2 linked regions of the Kluyveromyces lactis genome follow. The protein of the gene in region 2 interacts with the protein of the main gene of each other region in a pairwise test. Links are inferred from orthologs where the notes say so. Each region holds a gene or a part of one and is shown on either strand. Other genes may lie near its edges.

What was found.
Region 1: the proteins of ARX1 (region 2) and ALB1 interact in binary tests that used the Saccharomyces cerevisiae proteins (3 or more experiments, as listed by UniProt). The link is inferred for Kluyveromyces lactis from reciprocal best matches to the Saccharomyces cerevisiae genes ARX1 and ALB1.

The regions. Positions count from the first base shown.
Region 1 is NC_006041.1:1,343,299-1,348,705, forward strand, and holds ALB1 (Alb1p), read right to left. Parts: upstream 3,115-5,407; coding exon 2,632-3,114; downstream 1-2,631. Other genes in the region: histone chaperone NAP1, read right to left, coding at 1-1,198; ribulose-phosphate 3-epimerase RPE1, read left to right, coding at 1,782-2,495; DUF5427 domain-containing protein MTC1, read left to right, coding at 3,775-4,983; FMP46 (putative redox protein), read right to left, coding at 5,052-5,407. UniProt on the Saccharomyces cerevisiae protein: With ARX1, involved in proper assembly of pre-ribosomal particles during the biogenesis of the 60S ribosomal subunit. Accompanies the pre-60S particles to the cytoplasm.
Region 2 is NC_006042.1:1,096,894-1,103,594, forward strand, and holds ARX1 (putative hydrolase), read right to left. Parts: upstream 3,529-6,701; coding exon 1,813-3,528; downstream 1-1,812. Other genes in the region: TMS1 (Tms1p), read left to right, coding at 1-145; recombinase DMC1, read right to left, coding at 272-1,261; PDA1 (pyruvate dehydrogenase (acetyl-transferring) subunit E1 alpha), read left to right, coding at 4,536-5,774. UniProt on the Saccharomyces cerevisiae protein: Probable metalloprotease involved in proper assembly of pre-ribosomal particles during the biogenesis of the 60S ribosomal subunit. Accompanies the pre-60S particles to the cytoplasm.

The sequences.
Region 1 (5,407 bases), on a different chromosome or scaffold from region 2:
AGTCGTCCTCTTCTTCCTCTTCTTCACCGTCCTGATCGTCAAATTCATCGTCGTCTTCTTCTTGTTCATCGCCGTATTCTAATTCTAGTGCTGCACCGGTGAACCAATCCACTGCCCTTGGAATCAACTTGTCCTTGATCTCTTCACCGATAGCATAATCTACAGCCAATCTACTCTCAAGTTCAGCGATTTCTTCTTCGTCAAGATCGTCTTCTTCTTCGGGATCCAGAGACTTTGGTGGGTCAAAGAAGTTGAAGAACGATTCCACTGGTGTCAGCTTTTCAATGGTACGAATTTGTTTAGTAGTCTTGTTCTTTTGTTTTCGTCTTTTCACTTCGACTGTAACGTTATGGTCATTATCGACCCAGTTAATGGTTTCACCCTCTGCATGGTCATAGATGAAGTCGCCAGAGTAACCCAATTCGGACTGGTAGTAGTATGTCTTTGTTAAAGTTTCGTTAGTGAAGAATTCGTTCTCTTTATCGAAGGTGAAAATCAATTGGAAGCCTGGTTTACCCTCAGTTAGATACTCTAGAGTGATGTTCGTCAAGTATGTCAATACATCACAGTCAGCTTCTGTCACGTTTTGAGAAACCATTGGTAAGTTCTCCATGGCTGTCAACCAGAAACAAGGGACACCAACGATCTCTTCCTCACCTTCCTCCGGTTCCTGGTCATGCTCTTCTTCTTCATGCTCATCTTCACCATCCAAAGATCCCCCGCGTTTGATTTCTTCTTCAGTGGCTTCCTTATCACCTGTGATCAACTCGTAACGGTGTTCGTGTAATGGTTTGTATTTCTGCAGATATTTTTGTTCAAGTTCCAACATTTCAAGCTGGAAATTCTTCTCCAATTCGAACAAATCGGACTGAATAGCCTTTAAGGCTAAGATCCTATTGTTCACAGCTTTTGGGAGTCTTTCGAAAGCTTCTTCATCGCCTTCTTCCTCTTCCTCTTCTTCTTCTTCTTCACCCTCATCTTCTTCGTCTATGTTCAAGAACTCCAACTTTTCATTGATCCGGGATAAAGATGGACTCTCGTTGTATTCGCTATCGTCATCCTGATCTTGATCCTGGTCAGACTGCTGCTGTTGCTTCTTCCTTAAATATGAATCCTTAAGCACGCTAGCTGGTGTGTTATGAGGCGTTGGTGCATTATCGATCTTACTCGACCTCGATGTCTTGATAGGGTTGGACATTTTTATGATGTGATCCTTACTATTTTGCCAAATACACTCAAATGTATACAGCTAATGTAGTTCAAATATCCTGCTGCAACACTCCAAGTATCACAAATAGCCCACTACCTCTACGATCAGATGTTCCAAGCTGTTACGTTTCCTACTGAAAGAAAATTTTCTGGCTAAAAAATGCTCTTCTTATATATTCCTTACATATTAAAATAGATCACGGAAGCATGCAAATACTGCAACCGTATGCCAATTCAAAGGACTAAATCGTACCAATTCCTGGTAAAAAAACTCGGAATAAAGCACTCCTGATATCAACGGTACATTATATAATGAATCTTGAGCTGTAAAATACTCTGAAGTAATCCTGATCCCCTCTTCTTTCTCTCAATAGTCGCTTTCTTTGGATATCAGAATTTCAGTTTTATAAAGAATGCAATAAAATTAGAAAAAGCAGCAGGGAATTCTTTTCAAACAAGAACCAACTACCCAATTAACGGTCTGCTCTGCTCATTATAGAATACGATTTACCATTACCTGTTCGAGTTTAAGGTCAGCAGTTTACAAAACTATAATAAGTTTCAATTTTAACATGGTTCGTGCTATTATTGCCCCATCTATTCTAGCCAGTGATTTCACTAAATTAGGTTGTGAATGTCACAATGTGATTAACTCTGGTGCCGATTGGTTACACATCGATATTATGGATGGTCACTTCGTTCCTAATATGTCATTGGGACAACCGGTTGTCGAATCGCTACGTAAAGTTATCGGAAAGTACAACGATCCAGACACCAAGTTACCAAGAGCATTCTTCGATTGTCATATGATGGTTAGTGAACCTGAAAGATGGGTCGAAGATTTTGCTAGGATCGGTTGCGATCAGTTCACATTCCATTACGAGGCTACAAAGGACCCGGTAGCGTTGGTTAAGCTAATTAAGAAGCATGGTATGAAGGCTGCCTGTTCTGTGAAGCCAGGTACCCCTGTGGATGTGTTGTACGAGTTGGCACCATCCCTGGATATGGCTCTTGTAATGACTGTCGAACCGGGTTTCGGTGGCCAAAAATTCATGGCCGATATGATGAGCAAAGTGAAGGACTTGAGAACTAGATTTCCTAATTTGAACATTCAAGTCGATGGTGGTCTTGGTAAACAGAATGTCGAACTTGCTGCCGAGGCAGGTGCCAATGTCATTGTTGCCGGTACCTCTGTGTTCCGCGCGCACGACCCAGCAGATGTCATTGGATTTATGAAAACCAAGGTCAATGATGCATTAGTGACCAAAGGTTTATACGAAAAGTAGTAAGTACCTAAGTACATATACGCACTCTTTTTTATGTCAGAATAATATTTAATGAACGATCCGTTTAAGATCTATCCTAGTATACAAAATGTTTATATAGACAATGCAAACCCCATTTAACGATTTTTAAGACTCTCTACAAGAAATACTGACCACCTAGAGTTGTACCAGAACCTGTCTGAAGGGATAAACCTTGAGATTGAATATCTTCCAACACCGTGGAAATAGCCTCTCTCATCTTTTCCAATTGTCCTTTCTTGGTTTCCTTCTCCTTCTTCACAACAGGCGCATCAATCTGCATACCACCGTTTTCCTCACTTTGAGATTGTAGATCAACTAATAGTTTTCTTTGTTCCACGTATTTCAAGTTACGTTCGATCTTCTTTGCTCTTTTCTTCGAAAGAGTCTTGGTCGTAAGAGCACCAGAGGTCGAATGCTCGCCTTTGTAAAGATCCAATGGTATACTCTTCAACTGACCAGATTTAGATGTTCCTGAAGATCTTGCTGGTGCCAATAAACCCTTCTTTTCCATAGCATCTCTCTTGGCAGCACGTTGATGAACCTTACGGTTCAAGTTAACCTTTTGCTTTGGCCTGTTAATGGAGTTCTTAGATGGCATCTCGAATTTTAGTACTGTGATTAACCGTTAACTTGTAGTTCCAGGAATACTAGCCAGTACTAAGAGTAACAAGTAACAAGATAGCTAGCACAGGTGAATAGTAACGGGGGATCAAGTACATGGTATGGAGATGCATTAACTTTTCAACAGATTCGCGATGAGATGAGATGAAAAATTTTAGAAAAGAAACGGCAGTACAAAATAGATACGGTATTAGTTAATGAAAAATGCTAAGATTTAAGCCAAGACATGCCGACATTGGTACTGGAGAGCACCATCTATGGAAGGGGTAAGAATAGGTGGTGATAAAGGCCACGGTGCTCATTACATTTCGGCTAACTGCTCACTTTATGTATACCAGCGTTATTTCATGGTAATGAAAGTGACATAGTTACCCGGATATTTAAATACGACCCACCCTTAGAATGGACCAATACATGAAAAAAACACACGGTAGTTGGAACCATGACAATAGAGAAAGGATAGAAACTATATACTTGTGTTCACAAGGATTAGGAGGCTAGTTTAAGTTCAACCGTTGGAGTTTTGTCTTGCCTTTCAGCGATAATTTTCTAGTTTGAATATATCGATTCTTGATTGAACAATTCGTATCAATATTCAAGTTTTATCGACAGTAAAGACTTAAAAAGAAAACACCAAATGACTAGTGATGCCGATGATGTGCTAGAGTTTTTAGACTCTTTACCAGCCAGTACTGCTAATAACACTAAGGGAAAGGGTAAGGTTAGTGGGAACGGCGGCCAGGATGAGGATATTATGGAATTCTTAGACGAATTGGAAAATAGTAACCTGGATATTAAGAAGAAACCGTCCAAAAAGGACAAGCCACAATCCTCTAAGAAGCAAGAGAAAGAGAAACCGGAGGAGAAGCCAGAATCGAACGAGAAACCTGTAGAAGAGACAGCCAGTAAAGAGAAACCGAGTGAACAGAAAGGAAAAGAAGAACATGTGGCAGAAGAAGGTGAAGAGGCAGTTCAGGACCCACTGGCGTCAATTTCCAATTGGTGGTCATCTAGCGGTTCTGCTACAGTATCCAGTTTCTGGAACAAGACCACAGAACAAGCCAATCAATTGAAAGAGAAGATAGCTACTCAAGAGGGCAACTTGAAAATAAACGACATAGGGGCCAGATTAACGGCATTGCAGGGGTCTCATGTCATTTCTGGGCTTACTTCACAATTGACTAAGATTGTCATTGGTGAAACGGATGAAGTGATCAGAATTCATTTGGTTCATGATTTACACAATTTGAACGAGGAAACGATTACGTATCAGGTGGAAGACCAATTCGAAAGATTACTATCGCAACAGGTGCAAGGTGGAATAAGAATATTTGCTGATGAATGGGATCACGGCAGGAAAGTGGATGATAACGTTAACTTGAACCTTTTCCAAGGTAAAGCCGTTGACGGTGAAAAATTATGCTTGGCCAACCTTGACAATGCAATCAAGACGTGGGAGACTGCTAAGAAACAATCGAGAAGAACCAGTAACCCAGTGAGTAAAGTAAGCGATCTTTTTGTCAGCATTCTGGCCTGCGAGGTTACTGGGAAAGACGGATCATCCGAAGCCGATTCTAACACTGTTTTGATCGACGCATCGAGACAAAACAACTTCCATTTCATTGTCATCTTGAAAGACATAAGTAATGATATCTTGCTAATAGTGAGATCCCAAGGTTACCCCTCCAAATGGGCCAAATGGTTACAATCCGATGCACTAAGCGATGAGGAATCCACAGAAAAAATCGACCCAAGTGATTGGGTGAAACCATGGATATCCGAAGGTCTTGATCTAACTTTCGGTATTCTTGCCCAACAATACGTCATAAGCAGAATGAATTTGTGAAGTGTCTTTTACATACATATTTTAAAACCCTAATTACTGTTATTAATCATCATTATTATACTCCCATATCAGTTTTTTGGTAACCATTTCTCTTTCAACGATTGAACCGTCGTGCCTAATACAGCTTTTTCCCAGTCAACCCATAAGCTCGTCTGTTTATTCCAAGACCCATTCTCGACACATTTCTGCAATGGTGACCCAAATAGTGGATCCTCAGCAGCTTTTTTCAAAAGAGATTCCGTCTTAGGAATCTGTTCCATTAAGTCGGGCTTATCAATTTTTGCCAAATATTCCAATTGATCTCTAGTAGGGAATTTCTGGCATATTTCAATGTTGATTTTGTTCTTGTGGTTCGATTTTAATGCCGTTAGAAGATTTTGAGCATGAGATGATTCTAATTTGTGTGTGAATAATGTCACTACGC
Region 2 (6,701 bases):
TGATGTTGGAGATTTTATTCCTGTTGGCAGGACATACTTTTATTCATGGGTTAAAATCATAAGTGCTTGGATTTGTTATGGTTTATACGGCTGGACCTTATTCGCACCCATTGTCATGCCAGAAAGATTTGAATATGACTATTAGAAAACACCTATCGAAGTGGTAAGGGAAATGGATGTGTGTCACTTGTTTATAGAGTTGTACTATTCTGTTCGTAAAAACGTTCTATCGATAGAAAGTATGTCTTTCTTACGAGCCACCCATAGTGGCTTATTCATCAGAATCCATTATTCCACGCTCACCAATGACATAAACGCACTCCTTTTCCGGCATATCAGGCGAATCTTGTAATTTCGCGACCCTTTCGTCACCTCTACCTTTTCTCAATAATATTCTTGTCGCACTTGCATGGGCTAAGACATGTCCTCCGACAGGTTTCCTACCATCGGCACTAGCAAACAAGGCAGAAGCACCGGGATCACTTTGAACTTGGTTGGTCATGAAAACTGCGATATTGTTCTCCTCAGCGATACGATTCAATCTAGAAAGATGTTGGTTTAGTTTTTGCTGACGCTCGTTCAATTCCCCACGGCCTGAATAATCAACTCTGAAATTGGCCATAATTGAGTCTACTATTAATAGTCTATATTCTCCTGAAGAGAGTTCCTCGCCAAGCTGTTCAAGTAACTCCATCTGATGCTCACTATTGAGTGCCCTGGCGTACGAGATATTTTCAAGGCACACTTCGGGATCCAAATCATACCCTTGTGCTATCTGCTTGATTCTTTCTGGTCTGAAAGTACCCTCTGTATCAATATATGCAACCTTACCCTCAGGTCCATTTAGTTCTTTTGGTAATTGAGCTGTCACGCATAACGTATGGGATAATTGAGTCTTACCGCACCTAAACTCCCCAAACACCTCAGTTATGGACATTGTCATTATTCCTCCTCCTAGTACAGAATCGAATTGTTTCGACCCGGTAGAGATAGACATAACTGCTTGACGAATCTGCCATTGCAGAGTTGCTGGAATAAAGCCAATGGTGATGATTTTATTGGCAGCTTCTTTAATCTTTTCTACCTTCACTTCCGATAACCCTCTAACTTTACACAAATTCCTTCTGGTCGTCGACAAACAAGTGTTAACGGTAAATATACCAGCAGTCTTCAATTTAGTTATATCAGACGCGTTAATTCCGAAGTTTTGTAACTCATCAATATTGACCACATTGGTTTTAGTTTCTGTCTCTGTAGACATGACAGCTTAAATAGAAATGGAATGGGACGTTTCAAGTAGAATGAAATGCAAAGTTATTGGTTTTTAGGATCACCTTCTCGCTCCTAGTTATGTGCACTAGATATCTCGCTATGTCATATTCATTGGTAGTTGGGTTTGTTGATTTGGTTTCTGACTCCAAATCCTTTTTATACTAAAATCTAATTAGCCGCCATCATTTTGAACGTTTTGATAATCCTTCCGAAGCAAACACACTAATAGTAGAAGAACTAATGACAAAGTTGAGAGCTTGAGTTCTATTATGATTTTGCTAGTGTACAGATCTACAAGATACTTAGAAGTTGCTATTTATACATTGTTTTTGTTGCAATTGGTTGGTAAGAATAAAGACTCATAAGAACAAGACTCTTGGGCTACCGAAATCAAACGAGTATTGAATATAATATGAACTGGTGTATCAATGTAGAGTTATTGTGTGCAGATGCGAAAAGGGTGTTTGTGTATGAAATAGAATTTGTTATCTGTTGAAGTAGTTCTATCAAAGAAGGTAGTTAATACTGGTAATGAATAAATTAGAATTTCATTTTCCATGGTTGAGTTTCTCTGATCTTCAAACCAAATCTCTTATCCTCGGACAATTGAGCCAGTTTGAATATACCTGCAACGATATTGCTTGCAGTATCCATAGAGTAAACAGAATGAACCCAGTTAGATTTTAGGTTTCCGCTGATTCTTAGCAACTCTTCATCACAGATGGCTACAGTGACACATTGACGGACCACAGGAACTGGCGTAGAGTGTTTTTTTAGCAAGGATTTCAACTGTAGGTTGGACAAACCTAGTTTAGGTAGAGGAAGCTCGAAACCTGGGTATAAACCTTTATTCTTTGCCATGGCGTCATAACTTGACACACCGGATGGGTTTGTTAGATCCAAGATCTTAGCCCAAGGAACGTGTTTTACGATGGTGACATCTCTGTCGATTGTTAGGTAGTTGTTAGAAATTTCAGAAAGACCTAATCTGAATGGCTTGATTTCTTGCTTGATGGTTTCGAAATCAGGCTCCTGTACGTCCAATGGGAAAGAATCAGCGATATGAGCTAATTTGGTAGGGTATACACCTTGTTTATCCAATCTGGTCAACACTTGTCTAGCAGCTCTTAACTTTAGAACATGGCTCTTTGAAAAATCACGGCAGATGGCACCTGGTCTAGCCACCACATCAGAGGATTCAGATTTACCGGAGAATTGATCGACAGTGTGTAAAGTGATCAAACCTGGCTCCAATCCTTGCAATGGAGCCAACTTCAAATCGATCATGTAAACTTCACCCTTGACAACGGTAAAATCATCTGTTGGGACCACGGTATCTTCGGTGATAAATGGGTTCTTACGCTTGACATCAACAGCAGTTTCATTGACGGTTCTAGCAAGCATAGCAGCTTCCTGATGAGACTCAGTCCAAATGACACCTTTGAAGTCTCTTTCGACAATGATATTTTCGTTTTGACCAGAAAGGAATCTTTTGATTCTTCTGATACGAGAACCAGGCACAACGCAACAATTATAAGATTGAGCAATGGTGTCAACTACGGTCCTAATCAAGGAACCAGTGACCTTCGTAGCGTTGAAATCAGCTGGAAGTTTGGTCAAATCGTTTGCAGCAGCTAATAAGTTAGTGACGGACTCAACAGCGATATGGGTGGCAGCTAGAGCATCAGCTTTACCACCTAGCAAAGCAGCTTCAGGTAGCAATTTTCCAGATTGGGCATCCTGAACGGTTGGGTAAATGACCACGGTGTGGGACACGTTACAAGTGTACCCATCGATGTGACAACCCAAAGTGATCTTAGCGACATCACCAACTTTCAAAAACCCAGACAAACTAGAAGTAACACCGTTACATAGCTCGATCGATTTGGTAGATCTAGATTTTTGGTTCCAACGGGACAAGTTTTCGATGTCATCCACTTCAGGACACCAGTTCTCGTTTATTTCATCGATATCAATACAAGTTGGCATTGAGATTCCCTTCTCGTTAACCTTATTGTTGAACTTAGTACTTAAACAATCGGCTATGAACGAATCAGTCAATAAACAAAGTTGATGAATCGGTAGCGGCTCCATAGACTTCTCATGATACATCTTATTGATCAAACTGATCAAAAAGTTTAAAGCAGTCTGAGCAATTTGACCTGCAGTTCTATATTTCTCAATTGTTGGTTCGATCAATACATTCTTATCTTTCAATAACACCTGAGTGTCTTCCTTTGAGATTTGTAACGCCATAGTACGGATAATTTTATCCACAAATTATTAGTATTAGCTGTTTTCTGATACAAAGGAGGGAACGATACACTATGATAATGATGTAAGTATGTACCTCGTTTCTCTTTACCTCATCTCATCTCATCGCTTTAAAGTTTTCACTGATACTTTTTTTTTCCAAATTTCTTTCCTGGATACAACCTTTCCTGCCACACAGCACTAAGATATTTCAAAAAATTTTCCAAAATATTACCCGGACCTCGATCAGAAGAGAATGAAAAAGAAATCACTTTCTGATCACGTGCGCCAAAAGTATTAATATTCGGGTAATGTGTATCATTAGAACTCATGACCCGCATATTATCCGGGTAATAGATCTGCTGCCCATGTTCCACCCAAACACCGCGCTGTGCACGTCACTTTTCCCACTCTTTCTAACAACAATCCCGTCTGTCTAATTGAATCAGCACAATAAACTCTACCTACACCAGACGAAACTGTCAGATATCCCATAATAAGTAGAATATCAATACTCTCCGCATCATCAGCTACCCAACGGTTCAAGTTTGACCCCAATTAGAGCAAAATTGACCTTGCTTATACCCACTTCTTGTTATTTCAAGTCCCTTATCTATACCGACTGGCTGGCTACGAAATTTTTTGAAGTTTTTTTCCCAAGTTCACAAGTATTTAAAGGCGGATTTAATTGTGAATATGATGAGAAACAGTTGTTGCGTGATTAAGAACCTTTTTTTGGTCTTTCAGTGATACTGAGCCAAGCAATTGATTAATTGACTGACTGATTGATTGATTGATTGATTTTTGTCAAATTTTTTGGAACAAGGAATCGTTCATTAGTTGGCTTTTTTTTGTTTTAATATAGAATCAGGAACTCAGAGCTTCTTCTTCTTTATTTCTTCTCTATACAACATATTTTGCCATCACTACTGCTGAGTGTGTATTTGTGTGTTCTAATTGTTGGTCGCTATAGTAGTTAATACCGAAAAGAACAATAAATTAGGCAAACCATGCTATCTTTGAAAGCTCAATCCTCTGTGGTTGGGAAGTCCAGCTCTTTGAGATTGGTTAGAAACTTTTCTAAAAACGTCCGTGCTTTGTCCCAGGTTGCTGATGAAACTAAGCCAGGTGATGATGACCTAGTTCAAATTGATTTGCCAGAAACCTCTTTTGAAGGTTATCTTTTGGATGTTCCTGAATTAAGTTATCAAACCACCAAGTCCAATTTGCTACAAATGTACAAGGATATGATTATCGTTAGAAGAATGGAAATGGCCTGTGACGCTTTGTACAAGGCTAAGAAAATTAGAGGTTTCTGTCACTCCTCTGTCGGTCAAGAAGCCATTGCCGTTGGTATTGAAAACGCTATCACTAAGCGTGATACCGTCATCACCTCTTACAGATGTCATGGTTTCACCTACATGAGAGGTGCTGCTGTTCAAGCTGTGTTGGCTGAATTGATGGGTAGAAGAACTGGTGTGTCCTTCGGTAAGGGTGGTTCCATGCACTTGTACGCCCCTGGTTTCTACGGTGGTAATGGTATCGTTGGTGCCCAAGTCCCATTGGGTGCTGGTTTGGCCTTCGCTCATCAATACAAACACGAAGATGCTTGTTCTTTTGCCTTGTACGGTGATGGTGCCTCTAACCAAGGTCAAGTTTTCGAATCCTTCAACATGGCCAAGTTATGGAACTTACCAGCCGTCTTCTGTTGTGAAAACAACAAGTACGGTATGGGTACCGCTGCCGCAAGATCTTCAGCCATGACTGAATACTTCAAGCGTGGTCAATACATTCCTGGTTTGAAGGTTAACGGTATGGATATCTTGGCTGTTTACCAAGCTTCCAAGTTCGCTAAGGACTGGACTGTCTCCGGTAACGGTCCAATCGTTCTTGAATACGAAACTTACAGATATGGTGGTCACTCTATGTCTGATCCAGGTACTACTTACAGAACCAGAGATGAAATCCAACACATGAGATCTAAGAACGATCCAATTGCAGGTTTAAAGATGCACTTATTGGAATTGGGTATCGCCACGGAAGATGAAATTAAGGCTTACGACAAGGCTGCTAGAAAGTACGTCGATGAGCAAGTCGAATTAGCTGATGCTGCCCCAGCTCCAGAAGCTAAGATGTCCATCTTGTTCGAGGATGTCTACGTTCCAGGTTCTGAAACTCCAACCCTAAGAGGTAGATTGCAAGAAGATACTTGGGATTTTGCTAAGAAGAGCTTTGCTTTCAGAGATTAGAGCAAGAACGAATTAGGTAATTGAACGTTAAAGTTAACTTCTTTGCGTTTATCCTTTTTTTTATTCCCATCTCTCTACTCTTCCCTTTTCGAAAGACAACTATATTCCTATAAACTGCCCTTTCACAATATTATGCTATAAGGTTCACAAGATGATACTATTTGTATAGTGCATCTGCTATTTTCCACCAATCAATATTAAAGTACCAAAATCATAAAAAAACACCTTTTAGATACAAGTGTTTTTTATTCATTTCATTCACGGTATGGTTTCTATTCAGATAACTGTTTTTTTCGGTTTTAAAACATGAATGTTCATCTGTGACTTCTCATTCTCTCTCTCTCCATGAGACTTCGTTGATGCTTATTCTCAATGCCGAGAACATTATCTGGTTACTGATGCCTGCCATTACGGATTACCTGCGTTTTAATTTCTTCCCAAACAAAACAACGATACAGAATTTTCTCATTACTCCCAAAAACTACCTCAATAATTCGTGCTACAATCTTCTTTTCTTACGTTGATCTTGCGCCTGTTATAAACATGATTTATTGTGAACTAGGTTTTGTAAACTAATCTGACATTGTTCTTCACCATAAATTGTCTCTCCCCTTTTTGGTTGCTACGATACAATGTCGTCAAATGCGAAGCCGCATATTAGACAGATGAAAAGTTACAATACCTTGTCCATCATTGAATCATCTACTCACCTTTCTAATGACTGATCTCACGACGACTTACCCCAATAATCATCTCATCTCTATTTACTAGACTTACATCTAGTCTATATATAAATTGTATTTACTGAATTAAAGTATCATAGATATACTAGAGACAGTTTTGTCACCCTGGTTCCAGAGTCACTGCAGGACCCTACTCATCGACTTCCTAAAATGTACACTTTGTCCTGATTTCATCACTATCTCT